Linked DNA regions of Oreochromis niloticus. Each later gene encodes a partner of the first gene's protein in a complex. Links are inferred from orthologs where the notes say so. Each region holds a gene or a part of one and is shown in the gene's direction. Other genes may lie near its edges.

Region 1 (7,990 bases):
CACCTCGCAAACGGAGGGCGCCCTTACTCCCCGCAAATGGCCGCAAGAACACCGATCGGTGCCTATGACATCCCCAAAATGCGCTGGCATGATGTCGGGGCAGCATGAGTACGAGCAACTTTTTTTTTTTTGCCGATGCCCGTTATGCCGCCGCCCTGGGGAACCGCCCATGTCGCCCATATCAAAAACCGCTACTGGCGCCACCTGATGGGTAAACTGCAGCGGTGGTGAAATTTACACCAAGGGCGTAGATTTGGTTTTGGCATTGGTGGGGACAGATGATTCAACCACTGACTGAACCCTGCCCTGTTTCTTTGTTTTTACTTTTTGTCTTTGCTTCTTGATAAAAAAAAAAAAAAAAAAAGGAGAAATATACTTGCCTACATATGGTATTCTACATTCCAAAGCCTCTTAGATTATAATGCTGTAATGGAAAGCTCTCTTTCAAAAGTATACAGTATGGTGTATGATTCACATACTGCTTAAACTTAAAAGTAGTCCCTATAGGTGCAAGATAGAAATTTTTCAATATAGATTAACAAGTTTGTATGACTTTATAGTTATAAGAACGATAATAAAGCTCATGTATATTGTAGTTGCAGAAAATAAAACAGACTGAAATAAAACAACAAAAACCCGAAAACCTGAATAACATGACAAGTGAAATAAATGAGTCAAGGAAATTGTATGATAGGAAAAAACGGAGTCACTATTTTAAAAAAAAGCTGTGAGTAGTGGTGAAGAATTTGCACAGCTGTGAGGCTGTAAGAGAAAATGCCACGTCATTTTGTAATGATGTGAGCTGCAGGAACAGTTAGGCGTGTCTGAATCAAACCAGCGGCTCTGTTAACAAAGTGAGGTGTGAGTGAAGTCATGTAAGGCTGTTCAAACAATAAAGCAAAGTTTAAAATCAATTCTATATTGAATAAGTCTAATGTAGCGGGAGTAATGTGGTCTTTGCTCTTCTCGTCTCTGGCAGCTAAAGTTTGAACAAGGCAGAAGGAATTAAAATAGTCCAAATATGATGAGGAAAAAAGCCTGTATCAGTCTGCCTGAGATTATCAAAAAAAAAAGTGAAAAAAGTTTATTCGTAAAAGGACAAATCCACTCAATGAAAGCTAACTGTCTCCCATGAGATAGCTGGTATTAGGATAAAAAATGTTGCAAGAAGTTCAGCTTTCAGGTTACTATTAAGGACATAAATATCTGCTAGTGACCATAGGAAGATGTGACACTGTCACACGATTAAAACTTGTAAGTTTTGCCACAGACAACAGACATTTCAGGATCAGAATACAATTAAATTAGAGAAAAATATCTTCAAATCACCACAAAGTCTATTTCATGGCACTTTGTAGCTATTGAGAAATGTCAGTTACAAATTTTGGATTGTGTAAGAGAATCACGAAAGGTTAGCCTTCAGCAAAATTAAACTAGACCCATCAGGCAGGATTAAGGACACACAGTGCCATTGACAGTACAATGGCAGTAAGAAACACACTTAAGTAGCTCTATATAGCATTATTATAACATTGACCTTTAGATGTCTTGACCTTGAAGGGGAGGGTCATAGGTCAAATGTGACATATTTGAAATCTGTAGACCTTGTAGACTTGTAGATCTGTAGACCAACCTTCAAGTTGACCTTGAAGACCTTTGTGGATGTAAGCCAATCACTAACATTATTATCTACACTGCTTAACTCTGTGTATTTGAAACTAATACCAAAACAAAACTGAAAAAAGTCTTAAATGTGTGATTAACAGGATCAAGATTCCGCCTTCGATGGTTTACACCAACCACTGAAGTAGATCTGTGCGGTCATGCCACTCTGGCCTCTGCAGCAGTGCTATTCCAACACATCAGTAAGATGCAACATTTACACATAAAAAGGTTTTTGAAAAAAAAAAGTGACATCATGGTGCAGTAGAAAAGGCCGCTGGAGCTATTTTTAAAGATGCCTGTAATGCACAATGCAGCTGACTGCAAGAAGGAGCAAAGAGGTGCTAGCATGTAACCGTGTAATGGATGTTTTCCTTCAGAAAATGTAAATCCCACCCTGGTGTTTGAGACCAAGAGTGGAGATCTGCACGTCACCAAGAAGGAGGAAGGGTACATCATGGACTTTCCTCTGAATCCCCCCACCCGAGTGGTAAAATAAACTTTTCCTGTTTAGTTACATGAACAATTTAATCAAATCCTGTAATGTAAAATAAACTAGTTCTTGTGTTTTATTAACAGTGTATGTAAAATGGCTTTCTTTCTGAACTCTTTTTATTTCAGGAACCCAACGACTTCAAAGACACCATCAAGGTCAGAAATCACATTTTTGTGAACAGTTTGTGAAAGTGTAACTACATTCCTGTGTGTGTATTCAGCTAAGTCTCTGCCTTTACATGTGTGACACAGGCGGCAGTCGGAAACCTCCCGGTTCAGGAAGTTTTATTTTGCTACAACACCAAGAAGCTGCTGATTCGACTGGCTGACAGCTGTGACATGTTGGTTAAAAAAAACTTTGCTTGTTGCCAAATTCAAATGAATCTCAATAGTGGTCCTACTGTTCATGGGATCTTAAACATTTGTTCAGCAACAACAATCAGTTATATTTCTCAGGTGCCCAGCTAGTGGGGCTTATTCATATGTTTAAAGCCCAAACAAATAATCAAGCAACTGCCCTTCTACACCCACTCATCACATTTTAGTAAATGTATATATGCTTTTTGTGTATTATCTCCAGCTCCGCGCTTACCAATCTGAAAGTTGACACTGTGGCTCTTGAGAATACTGAGAGAAGTGGAAGATTCTGCGCCGTCATCGTCACTATGAAAGGTAATCGGAGCTGTGCCTTTCGTAGAGTTGTAGACTTGCTGGATCGGACCACATGTAGTAATTCCATTACAATGAAGACGTAAACAGTAAAGAATAAACCAAAGGAAACAAAACATGAAGTGTTTAAGTGAGGTGTTGTCCCACCATGTACCATCAGAAAAGCTTCGATGCACCTCTGTTAGAGGGATGAACAGCAATCTGCCAAAAACATTCCCTCATTTGGTGTTTTAATGATGATGGTGATGAAGAGCACAGTCTGTGATTTCACTCATCATATAGGCCTTCACTTGGGTTGAGCTCTGGGGAAATGTTTGATCACAGGACAAATGGTGCGCTGATTTCTCCTTTGCCATCACCATCCTGTGGACTCGTTTGTTGCCCATTTTAATTTGTGTAACAACACTGACTGAATGTTTCTGCCAACAAACATTAAATATCAAACACTGCTAACATGTGGAAACAGGATCACCAGACTGCCAGCCAGGATATGACTTCTATTCGAGAGACTTTTCTCCATGGGTTGGAGTCCCTGAGGATCCTGTCACTGGTAAGATGATTCCTCTTTACTAGTATGTAATCTATAGACATTATTCCTCAAATAACATAATTCTGACCATGTTTGTGTGTCTAAAAACATTTACATATAAGCAGCTGGACTAAAGTGATTAAAGAGGATGCATTTACAGGTGTCTTATTAATGAGAGAAAGTGTTAAGCTATTCCTGCTGTGCATTCTTTGCTCTGGCAGGATCTAACCACACAGTCCTAGGTAGCTACTGGTCTGAAAAACTAGGAAAGAAGAAAATGCTGGGTACGTATTTTAACCTTCTCCGCCTTTTACTAATGTGTCATTTATCTGATAACAGATGTTGTGTTCCACTTTTATCCATTATTAATCTGCTTATTGTGTCTGTGCAGCTTACCAGTGCTCCAGTCGTGGTGGCGAGCTGGAACTTGAACTGAGAGATGATGGAAGAATCAACATAGCTGGACAGGCCATCACTATTCTGCAGGGAACAATCAAACTGTAGGCTGAGACATCCAAGAAGACAGTGTCTGATGTTCTATCACAACCGTTGTGTCCCTGCAGATAGACACTTTGTGGCTCTTGATTAAAAATGAGATGGCTCAAATAAAAAGAAAAAACACACTCAAGTCCTGACTGTTCTATTCTGAAATGATTCAGCTAACAAACATACTGTAGGCTTTTTTACAATTTCTATCATTTATTCATAACATTACAGCAAAAAAAGTTACAACCAAAAGATTTTAAAATGGTAAAAACAGAAACACAAGAACACAGCAGGTAAAATCCAAAGAGTCACGGTTAGCCTTGTGGTCGGTAGAATTTTTTGCTTTTTGCTTAATAATGAATGGGGTTCAATAAAATTAAGTACAGCTGATATGGACTAAACTGGTATAAATGATACTGTGCAGATTCGTTTTGATCCTAAATAACGTGTACATATTCCTGAAATTAAAAGTCATCATGATGACATTGTCTAAGGAGCGTGGAAAGAAAAGCGTCTGGACTTCTTTAAGTTGCTTGACGACGTTTCACCTTTTCACCTCTCATCCGAGAAGCTTCTTCAGTTCTAGGATCAAATGGTGGCAAGTCCCAGATTTGACCATTTCCCACCATTTGACCCTAGAACTGAAGAAGCTTCTTTGATGAGAGGTGAAACGTCTTCAAGCAACTTAAAGAAGTCCAGACGCTTTTCTTTCCAAGCTCCTTAGACTACGATGACGTGGATGACTGAGAACCTTCACAGACATCATGATGACATGTTTTTTTGACATGTTTTTTTGTATAATCCTTTCCTGCACATACAGGTTTTTACTGACAAAACAATGGAATAAACAATGGAATAATCTATATTAGTGAGGCCCACTAATATAGTCAAGTTCTTTTAAAGTTGACACTTCTGGTTACATACTATAGCTCTATCATAGGAAACAGGAAATGACACTACACCTAGAGCTGGAGAATGTTAACTTTTCTCACATATAGACGATGATGGATGTTGCCATATAGCCTTTTAGTTTGTTTTTATGCTGAAGACTGGGCGCGTTTCACACTGCCAGCAAACTTCCACAGGTATGTTCTCGCGAGATTTCGGGTTATAAACGTTGATTTGTTCTAGTGTTTTTATTGATACCTCCCACCCGCAGGGGCGCTCTTTCACATCACGAGACCTCCGTGCTGGTACTGGCAGAGCACGCGAAAGGAAACCCGCCATTGAAGACGTCTCACAACGTGAGAGTTTCGTTGTAGTGCACTCTTAAGAAAAGGTGCAATTTTTTTCAGCATATACCTACAGCTGGTATTTAGTTGTAGGAATGGCATACAGAGGACAAGGACAGAAGGTCCAGAAGGTTATGGTGCAGCCCATTGTATCCTTTTGTATTGCAGGACGACACTGCGCGGTTGAATTGGTTGCTACAATAGCTTAGCAGCTAGGCTAACATTTAGTCATTCGTAAACATTTGTAGTCACTCATGTGAGGAGAGGAGTTTTACAAGGCATGTAAGCTTTTGTGAAGACCAGTTTCACCCAGAGAAGTCACGCGGGTATGAAATATGTTTGCAGAAAAATGTGGTTTATTGAAATCCAGTCAGAAAACTAGTGTATAGACTTAGCCGCTTTAAGCCCGGCTCTGCTGTTCCGTGTTACAGCTGAACGCAAAAGAGGCTAATTTCTGCCTTCAAACTACTCAATATGATACCATAAGGAGGGTTTTAGGCCCACCAATCGATAGTTATTAACACCAAAATATAATATGATGTGGGAGAGTAAGGAAGTTACGGAATACTTAACTAACGAAAGTGTCTTGACAATTATTAGTTATAAAACCGGAATTACCTTCAGCTTCTCAAATGTTTTAAAAATATAATTAGTTAATTGTTAGTGGAACTTAATAGTGTTTTCTTTTATTTGCTATGGATCCACGTTTAAATGGTCTCTTATGGGAATGCCAGCATGTTATATTAGTGCTAATATTGTGTAAGAATTAAAATGACCAAAAATAAATGTAACTATATTTTAATTCTTTGTTAAACAGATTTTTATTTACAAAAGGATCAGGGGAAAATAATAAAGTTTGCCCTCAAGATATGAAGACCAAAAGCCAATTTTAAGCCAGGAAGAACCCCTGACCCAAACTCTGATTCTGAATCACATTTCCGATAACTTGGACTAAATGCGAATATAACCATTAACAATATATGTGCACATTTTAACTCTAAACATGTTGAACTCGAGTCTGTGTGTATGTCCTTGACTGTGGTTGTCAGAATCTCATTTTCAGGTACCTGCAAAATGTAAGTAGCTTGTAACTTTTTTGTGCTTACTTCTGATTAGTTTTGTTTTCTGGTAATTTTGAAGATAAAACTGTATGCAGTTTATTCTCCCTCTCATTCTCAGCGCTCACGGATCCAAGTTTGGTTGTATGAACAGGTGAACATGCGGATAGAAGGCTGCATTATTGTAAGTAACATATAACCTTTCTCCATGTTCTTGGTCAGTTTATCAAGCTTGATGTTCATGGGCAGTGTGCCATATTTTCCAAAAAACACGGTAATAACGACGGCCCACTAGCATGCGCTACCAAAAATAGTGCTTTGTTGTGTATCTGACGGACGAAAGCTAAACCAGTTCCACACCACTGAAGTTGCAGCATTTTTACAAACCAATTCTGGTTCATCCGTTTCATTCAACAATCCGCTTTCGCCCTTCTTATTCTCCGTAGCCGCCGTGCTTTTTCCGCCATGTGCGTATGAAAACAAAGGCACTGCACATGCGCGTTTTACCCAGATTCTATCATGATATTTCATTTTCTTATCGTTGTCCAACATTATACCGGTATTACCGTGAACAGTATGATATGGCCAAGCCCTACCTGTTATCAGTGTGGATGTCCAGGTACTTGTTCTCCTCCTCCACATTAGCATTCTGTCCCGGGATAGACACAGGTGGTATAGCCACCCGTTTTCTTCTGCAGTCTGTCATCTCTGTGGTCCTATTCACAATCAGAAACAGTGGATCCCTCTCTGACAACTCCACCAAATCATCCACTAGTGCTCTGTACTCCTGCTGCCCATCACTGATGCATCCAACCACTGCAGAATTATTAGTTTTGTAGGTGGCATGACTGAAAGTCTGAGGTGTGCAAGGTGAACAGGAGTGGAGATGGCTCAGTTCCCTGTGGAGCTCCTGTATGTCATCATTTTGACACCGAGCACTGCCCAGTTTCACATACTGTTTATCATATAATCAGTGATCCATGAGATGGCCAACTGTTTACTGACATTCCCTTTAGCCTTCTCTAAGTAGCAGTGGCTGAAATGTGTTATACGCACCAAAGAAATCAAAGAAGGTGATCTTCACCATGTGCGTGTTGCTATTGAGATGGAAATAAGCTCTCACTAGGAACAAACCTTTGTCACTTGCTGTTCCCCTGTATGGCCACATTATGTCCTAGCATGGCTTAAAATGATTCAGTCTAACTTGAAATGGCCTGATCTGTGAGTAGCGTTTCCACTCAGGCTGAACCTTCTGTGAGATCAGGCATGCACAAGTTCTAGTTAGTAAGTTCTAGTTGTCTTGTGTCTCATTGCCTTAGGGTTTCGATGAGTACATGAATCTGGTTCTAGACGATGCTGAGGAAGTCCACATGAAGACTAAGAACAGAAAACCATTGGGTAAGAGCGCACCACTTTTTGTAAAGCTGTTTTATTATTTTACAATTTTAGGAAGGATGTCTGTGAAAGGTAAGAATTAAAAAAAAATGTGTGTCATCAAGACATTGTTGCTTCTCAGGGATTTTTGAAAACACTTGTCCTGCATATCCCAGAAAGTGCAAACCCAATTCTGAAAATGCTGGGATGCTATGTAAAGTGTAATTAAAAACAATTACAGTGATTTGAAACAAAGAAGCAAAATACAAACACAAAACACATGTAAGAATTTCAAGACAATCGTCAGTCTGCTTTGGTGCATTTTTTTGTTTCGTGACGTACTAAATGTTTTCAAATGGTGAAAGTGCAGGCCAATTCTGTAGCTGCTACGACATTAGCAGCTACATTTGTGGATGGCACAGTGAGCTGTGTTCACAGACACTGATTTCTATGACAGAATCATGTCTGATTTTACTGCAGTGCTG
Region 2 (8,041 bases), on another chromosome or scaffold:
ACCCTCAGGGTTCAACAACAGCTTTGCTTTGCTGAGCATTTATTTGACAAGAGAAGTTTTAGATCCTCTTCTTTGTGAACACTTCCTGTTCACTTTAAAGTCACAGCAGGCTTTATTGTATTTGAGGGCAGTGATCTTGACAGTCAAGTACCCACATTGTACCTCTTAGATATGCAAATGCACCTTGAGGCCATATAACTACTTACATAGATTACAAGAGGGTGTTTAAAATTGACTTTTTGGATATCTCTTGTTGCATCTCAGCCAGGTTTATTCATGCATTAACAGCGTGTACCTCCACTGAGGTCACATTAAGGCATTTACTGTTGCTAGAATACCTCCTAAAATACTGTGTATCCTCCATCACCATAGGAGGTTTTAAGTGGTGCACCAATGAGTCACATAATCCTATAAGGTAGCAGAGCGGGCTGATGGGTAGAGAAAAGTGTGAGTGACTCACTGTTGGTGAGTGGGTGGTCAGGTACCAAGGCTCACTCCATGAGCAGGGGAGATAATAACACACCGTCTGTACATCTCCATTCCCATTTGGGCTTGAAAATAGTCGGCCTCCCCAGCTGTTAGTCATTACGCCTTGCGGTGTCGAGGAGGGAGGAGGCCCCCCCCCTCCGTCTGTCAGCAGGCAGATAAAGAGAGGAGGGCTTCATGCCATGTTTTTGTAGGCAAGTGTGCACCGCTCTGAAACTTGCTGTGCGGTTCATTAATCAGTATACTTGCAGGGTTTTATCTAGACCGCTGTCTCGTGGAGAAACAAGCAGGCAACACAAACTCCCTTGCTGCGATGCTAATGTTTCCCTGTAGTTAATAAACGAAAACACAACACTTCTCTCAGATGTGAAATGATTTCGTTCCAGTCATCCTCACAAATGTCTCGCATGTGGTACTTTGCCCCCGTTCCCTGTGCCGCCTTTGCAACAGAGTACTTATTGGCCGGAAATCCAGATCATCCTGGATGAGGGAAGGTGCTTGTTCTCTTTGTAAGGACATGAGAGAGCATTAAAACTGTTTTCTGTTTTAAGTGAATGCAGCTGAGTTACTTTAGCAAATTCAGATGAGACGGGGTTATTCGGATGTTATCCCTGACTCTCCACTCCAAATTGGAATTACACAAAGATGTATAAATGGGAAAACTTGAGAGCTTGACCTTTTCCCATTGACCTCCCACTGCTACCAGAAGTGCTTATCCTCTCTCTCACTCTCTTTTTTTTTTTTTTCGGTAAATGCTCCATTGTGTGGATGTGACTATGCCACGTTTGGAGCCATGTAAAAATACTAATAGGCTACATTTACGAGACTGGCGCACATTTCTTCTACGGTTATATTCAAGGAACGGACTATTTACTCTCGATGGGTTTTTCTTCCTTCCTCCCCCTACTCCCACAATCCCCTCTCTCCTCCACCTTTTATATCGTGAACGCGCGCAATAGGCTGCTATTAAATGGGCGGACTCGGAGGCGCGGTCACGTTCAGAGCGGCTCCGGTGGGTTTGAGTGGCACATAAAAGTGCGCGAGCCACCGGCCGACCGGCGGAACTCTACCTCTCCTCTATGAGACCGGATCGGAGCTGACTGACACCGGGGATCGGAACCAGAGCCGGTGACTCATCTGTAATTATTATTATTTCTATTAGTAGTAGTATTTTAAACCTCAATCCAGCGCTCACTGCCTTCACTGCATGATGGTTGTGCTGCTGTTATGTAAAACAAAACCCTTCTAGATTAACAGCTTGATAAGAAGCCTCGACTGTTCTTACTAATTAGTAAGCTTTAAAAAAAAAAAAAAAAAAAAAAAAAGCTTTAAAAAAAAGTCTAAAATCCCTAATTAAGTTTTTTTTGTGTGTGCTGGGTTTTTATTATATCTAAATTTGCTGTATAAGCTCTCTGTTGATCTTTTTTCGGCATTTGTCTGCCTTTTAAGTTTGTCCCGTACTGCTTTTCCACTGATTCAGCATTCATTGTATTTTTCCCCCCATAAAGGAACAAACCAGTCACACTTTGAAGGCAACTGGTTGGATCTGGACTTCCACTGTAGACATCAGGGAAAATCCAAGGTAAGCACACGGCCTGTGAAAAAGTTGAATAGGGCTGACCTGCCCGGATATATAATCTGTAGCTTATCGTTTTGCTTGCTTGCTGGAACTGCATGAGTGAGTCTTACCTTGTTTTTCGCTCTTCTACACAATACTTGACCCTTTTTTCCCCCTCTCCACAAATCCATAATTTGCTGCCGCCTCTTGTCTGACACAGCTGCTGGTTGGCTGCTTTATATTATATTTATAGATTTTTTTTTTCCCCGTGCCTTTTCATTGAAATTATATTATTCCTGTGAAATCTATATTTGACTTCTTTGCCTCCACCCAAACCCCCACACCCTCCTTTATTGCATTGATGTTTCCCAGAAGGTCACCCTCTACCTCACCGCGGCCCATTGCGTGGGATGCTGGAGAGCAGAAGAGCGGGGGTGGAGATTTGATGCCACTTGGCAATATTAAAAGGTGTGGCGTAGTAAATCATGGGGGATTCGTTCTTCAACTGCTGTTATGTCCCACCCCATCCCCCAGGCGAGGAGGAACCCCAGAGACCCAGGCGCTCAGAGATCATGGCCTCCCACCCAGCTCACATCTCCCCTGACAAGCGCTTCCTGATCTTCTTTGACTTCGACGAGACCATCGTGGATGAAACCAGCGATGACATGGTAGTGCAGGCCGCCCCGGGTCAGCACCTCCCCGGGTGGCTGACGGACACTTATCAGCCCGGCCGCTACAACGAATACATGCAGCGGGTGCTGGCCTACCTAGCGGAGCAGGGCGTCACCGAGAGCGACATACGCAGCGTCATGGAGAAGATACCGGCCACACCCGGCATGCTCACCCTCTTCCAGTTCCTCCGCAACCGGCCCGCGAAGGACTTTGAGGTGATACTGCTGTCCGACGCCAACACCTACTTCATAGAGTGCTGGCTCCGGCGCGTCGGGGCCCGGCAGCTGTTCCACCGGATCTTTTCCAACCCCGCGACCTTCAACAAGGACGGGCGGCTGGTGCTGCGGCCCTTCCACTCTCACGACTGCCCCCGGTGCCCAGACAACATGTGCAAGCAGGTGATCGTCAGGGACTACGTGGCCCGCAGAACGCAGGAGCGGGGGCGCCCGTACCAGAGGATCTTCTACGTCGGGGACGGAGCTAATGACTTCTGCCCCGCGCTCTCCCTCGGTCCCCGCGACGTGGCCTTCCCGCGGAGAGACTTCCCCATGCACCGGCTGATCACCGAGACCCACGAAGCCCAGCCAGGGGAGTTCAAGGCTGTCACGGTGCCTTGGGTGAGCGCGGAGGATGTGGTGCAGCGGCTCCGGAAACTGGTGGCAGATTAAAGGGTCACACACTTAGAGAGAGAGTGTAGCACAGAGGGGGGTAATCAAGGGGCCAGCTGACACTTTATGTCATATTCTCAGGTAAAATATTCCCAGAAATTGTTGTGCAAGGCAATAAGATAATTTGTACCATCTGCGAGGGTCATTGTGTCTATCTGGCATCCAACACGTGCCTCAGTCCAGAATCTCACGTTTTTGTTCCCGAGGTCAGTCCTGAAATAGAAACTCGGTTTAATCATTAGACATCAAGACCTCAGCTGTTACCCAAAGTGGGGAAAAAGATCAAATGTAATGATATAAGCATATTAAAGAATATTTCAGTATAACTATAAAGTTTGAGAGCATCCGATTAATAAATATCCTTCAGTGTGGACCATGGAGTGATCGTAAATGTTAAAGTGGGTCAGTGGTGTGAGGAATCACTGCAGCAGTCAATAAAAATCTTATAAATAACATGACAAGTATATCAATCAACTGACTTGAGTGCTCCTGAATAGCAGTTATAACTGTTTTGTTACAAACTGCACATTTTTGAATATGCAACATTAAATTCATTAAATAAAATTCAGACTTACACTGTCATCTGATGGCAAAGGGCATTGAAACTGTCCTTCTGTCTAATTGAGAACTGTATGAATGACCGTGTATCAAGAGTGTGTGTTATTGTTTATCAGCCTGTCTTCATTGTGTAGGCTTCGCCTACTGAAACTATCAACACCAGCAGGAATAAAGCCATCGACTGAAACTGTGTCTGTGTACGTTTTATCACATTGCCAAAATCCACCAGCAGCAGTGACCCCCCCCCAATAAAGGCGGGCCATAGTGTCACTTTTTCTGTTGCAACGCTGACAACTGCTACGATATAACTCGTCTGAAATTTTAGACGGCTTTAACTCCCATCACAAACACACAATTTGCATGCCATAACAATTACGAAATCCTTTGAAAGAGACTGCAATTAAAAATGACATGTTTGAAATGACACCTGAAAGCCACATTAAAACCCAATAAACCAATGAAATATTTTCCAGAATGACGTCTTATACTTTCTTATTTGTTAGAAAAGTATTTTCATTCTTCATTAGAAGGCATGCCTGAGTTTTAGTGTATAAAAAATATTTCAATATATGTCTTTACTGTCATCTCCTTTTTATCTCCTCACGAGCATATTCATTCGTGTCTAGTACCCTCTTGTGGCTAAAGGGTGTAACTACATACGCGATGTTGTTAAGGTCTTCATTCAGGTCACCAATTAAGATTTATGTCTACAACACGGTAACGTTTACATTTTCTGAGTCTTTCGGCTAACATATTCTGAAAGTAGTTATCAAAATAACTCTAAAAATAGAGGAAGTTGTAGTTACATATGAGGATCACCTGAGGGAAACAATTGCACACGGACGTCAATGAAGATATAAAAATAAAAACAAATCATTACATAAATGCTCTGTGAGTACACACGTTTTATTTTGCAGCAAGTGCCATTTGTAGATGGTGAAGCGATGTAGCAATGAACCCTCCGTTTTGCAAACGTGTGCAGTAGTGGCTTTGTAGCCCAAATGGGGGCAGTAGTGAGCTTTAACATAAATTGTTAACCGCCTTCATATTAAACAGCTGAAGAAGAAAACCGGAAGCGTCTGGTGCGCATGGCGCTCTTTGAATAATATATTCTCGTCTGCTTATAAACACAACTTTCAGTTTGTTCGAAATCGATAATTAAGTGATTCCTACAGGATACAGGTACGTGTATTTAGCAGCATGCAGCACTGAGTTATCTTGAACTAAAATCTCTGAACAACAACAACGTAACTCAAACGTCGCTTTCAAGCCATTCATTTCTGTGCTTGTTAGCCGGCTAGCATGGTCGTCTTAGGATCGCTAGTGCAGTAATAGAAGAGCTGCTTATATCAAACGGAAACGTCTTAGTCAAGATGCATTTTCTGTGCTGATTCTCTGTGGACAGAAAACTCGAGTGAACTTTATAAAAGTAACTGAACTGCGTCCCTGCATGCTGTGCAGCGGTTAGCGTTAGCATTCGCTTTAGCGGTGACTTACAGTGGTATATACTTTCTCATGAATGTTAACCGCCACTGGCAGACAAAAACAAGCTAAAGCTAACTTATATTAAAAGTAAATTTCCTTTTCTAGTGAAGCATTAAAGTGAGGAAGTTACTGATGTGTTATTGATGACTCACTGACACGTTACGTTTTGGCTAACTTAAACAGCAATAAGATACATTATACATTTTAAATATCTCGTCGTTTTTTCCTCTCCTATATATTTTTCTGCTGAAACGTTATGCGTTTTGTATGCTACAGTGGATCGTATTTATAAAATGAACTTTGCCACCAAATGCACTTGCTCATTGACATATCAACCCCTCATTTAGTTCTCTGCGATATGGAGGCTGATTTGTATGACGAGTTTGGGAACTACATCGGTCCAGAGCTGGACTCTGACGACGATGATGATGACCTGGATGCAGAGGACAGAGACGTCGACGAGGTATGCTTAACACTCAAGAACCAGCAGTAATTACCAGGTAGTACTGAAGTTCGTGTTTGCAGTGAGTACATGAGTTTGTGGTATTTACAATTTGCAGGGTGATGAAGATGACGAGGATGAGCCAGCGGATGCTGATGATGATGTCCCTGGCATGGAGGTGGTCCTGCATGAGGACAAGAAGTACTATCCTACAGCAGAGGAGGTCTATGGGCCTGAAGTGGAAACTATTGTACAGGAGGAAGATACACAACCACTTACAGGTAGGGCTGCTTAAATTTATCTAAAGATGAAAAAAAAAAAAAAACCTTGTTGACCAAAATCAAGGTTTCTACATACAGAAAAGAGGTTTTTGCCTTCTCTCAACAGAAAATTACCAGCACCATGATTAACATTACTTTTGAAATTTTGTTTATTTTAAAAATAGATTTTACTTTAGTCAAGAATAAAAAAAAAAAAAAAAAAAAAAAAGCTACAAAAGATGATAGGAAAATGCGTAGACTTCTGTCAAGTAACAGATGCTCATCGCTTTAACTTTATGAGGACCAATCATTCTTACATGTGTAGTCACTAACGAGAAACCCCGAAGGTCTTGTCTTGGTCGAGCTGAACTTAACAGTGAATTTGGGTTTGTTAGGAAGCAGCATAAGTGGAAGAACATAGATGGATGAAAACAGGCGCAATAGTACACCTGTGTTGCAATACTGGGCAAAATTAAAGAAAAATGTATATGTTTTGAACGCACAGATTCACTCTCTGTATTTTCAGATGTATTTTAACTATAAAAATAGTCAAGGAGTGCAGTCTTAAAAATGCTTCTTTTCATAATCCTGTACACAATATTTTCTCTTTACTCCTTCCAGAGCCGATCATCAAGCCTGTGAAGAACAAGCAGTTCACCCTGATGGAACAGGAGTTGCCTGCCACAGTTTACGATATGGAGTAAGAATTGTTCAAGTGGTTTGTTGCATCTGAAAATGCAATTCAGTGTTTCACAGACTGATCTCGTGTAATATTCTTTACACATTAGTCCATCTTCATGCATTTATAGTGTGTCTTTAGCAAGCAGCATTAACCCTCTTCTCCCTCGTCAGATTTCTTGCAGATCTGATGGACGGACCAGAGCTGATTCGTAACGTCACCCTCTGCGGTCACCTTCACCACGGCAAGGTTAGAGTCTGCCTTATTCCTGCTCCGGGCTCAGGCTTCTTTAAATATGCTCTTCCAGTCGTGGCTCTTCTCCAGCATGTAGCCAAGCGAACATGTGTTCCTAAGATGAAAAATTGAACAGATTTGGAACATTTTGGAGCATATGCTAATAACATGGCTGCACTTTAGAGCCATCTGTGGCTCACGGGAATCTAATGAATGTGTTTATTCCATTCAGACCTGTTTTGTGGATTGCCTGATTGAGCAGACACACCCAGAAATCAGGAAGAGAGATGATGTGGATGTGAGTGTTGTGTACAATAATTCAACATGTTTGCACTCTGTTATACATAAATTCTGTATATGACAGCTGAGATCAACATGATCTGTTTTACTTTTTCAGCTCCGATACACAGACATCCTCTTTACCGAACAAGAGGTGAGTGGCTTGGTTTAACTGCCATAACGCTACAGAGCATTCATTACTAAATAATTCTATCAATATTTATAAGTATCCAGAGTCTATTTCAGCCTGAATATCTTCTTTAGAAGACTGTATCAATGTTTCCCTTGCTTTTTACCTGATCCATTTTTATAGAGAGGAGTTGGCATCAAAAGTACCCCTGTCACAATGGTCCTGCCTGACTCCAGAGGAAAATCCTACCTTTTCAATATAATGGATACACCAGGTATTGTATTCACATTGGATCCTTAAGTTGTTAGATGCATATTTTGAGGTTTTATAGAATGATCTAAATATTGCTGACAAAAAACACAAAACTAACAAGTCTACTTTTGTGCTCGTCCTCCCATAGGCCACGTGAATTTCTCTGATGAGGTCACATCTAGCATCCGCCTCTCAGATGGCGTTGTCCTCTTCATAGATGCAGCAGAAGGAGTGAGTCAACTTCTATTTGCGGTTCTCCCAAACCAACACTATCTATATCTTTTTATGTCATTATGCGTGTGTTCTTCAGCTGCCCATAGATCTCACAGATATTTGTG

What was found. Proteins that work in one complex are often made in the same cells at the same time.
Region 2: snrpe (region 1) and eftud2 share a complex: the UniProt entries of both Homo sapiens proteins name them as parts of the minor spliceosome. The link is inferred for Oreochromis niloticus from reciprocal best matches to the Homo sapiens genes SNRPE and EFTUD2.

The regions. Positions count from the first base shown.
Region 1 is NC_031970.2:34,218,153-34,226,142, reverse strand, and holds the start of snrpe (small nuclear ribonucleoprotein E), read left to right. Parts: upstream 1-4,897; 5' UTR 4,898-5,168; coding exon 5,169-5,222; intron 5,223-6,122; coding exon 6,123-6,149; intron 6,150-6,252; coding exon 6,253-6,315; intron 6,316-7,450; coding exon 7,451-7,529; intron 7,530-7,990. Other genes in the region: phenazine biosynthesis-like domain-containing protein 2, read left to right, coding at 2,120-2,152, 2,284-2,313, 2,410-2,498, 2,738-2,829, 3,293-3,376, 3,577-3,639, 3,747-3,859. UniProt on the Homo sapiens protein: Plays a role in pre-mRNA splicing as a core component of the spliceosomal U1, U2, U4 and U5 small nuclear ribonucleoproteins (snRNPs), the building blocks of the spliceosome.
Region 2 is NC_031969.2:27,313,075-27,321,115, forward strand, and holds the start of eftud2 (116 kDa U5 small nuclear ribonucleoprotein component), read left to right. Parts: upstream 1-4,969; 5' UTR 4,970-5,124; intron 5,125-5,774; 5' UTR 5,775-5,785; coding exon 5,786-5,890; intron 5,891-5,987; coding exon 5,988-6,150; intron 6,151-6,750; coding exon 6,751-6,829; intron 6,830-6,981; coding exon 6,982-7,057; intron 7,058-7,274; coding exon 7,275-7,340; intron 7,341-7,439; coding exon 7,440-7,475; intron 7,476-7,634; coding exon 7,635-7,725; intron 7,726-7,851; coding exon 7,852-7,934; intron 7,935-8,041. Other genes in the region: putative phosphatase phospho1, read left to right, coding at 2,530-3,384. UniProt on the Homo sapiens protein: Required for pre-mRNA splicing as component of the spliceosome, including pre-catalytic, catalytic and post-catalytic spliceosomal complexes. Component of the U5 snRNP and the U4/U6-U5 tri-snRNP complex, a building block of the spliceosome.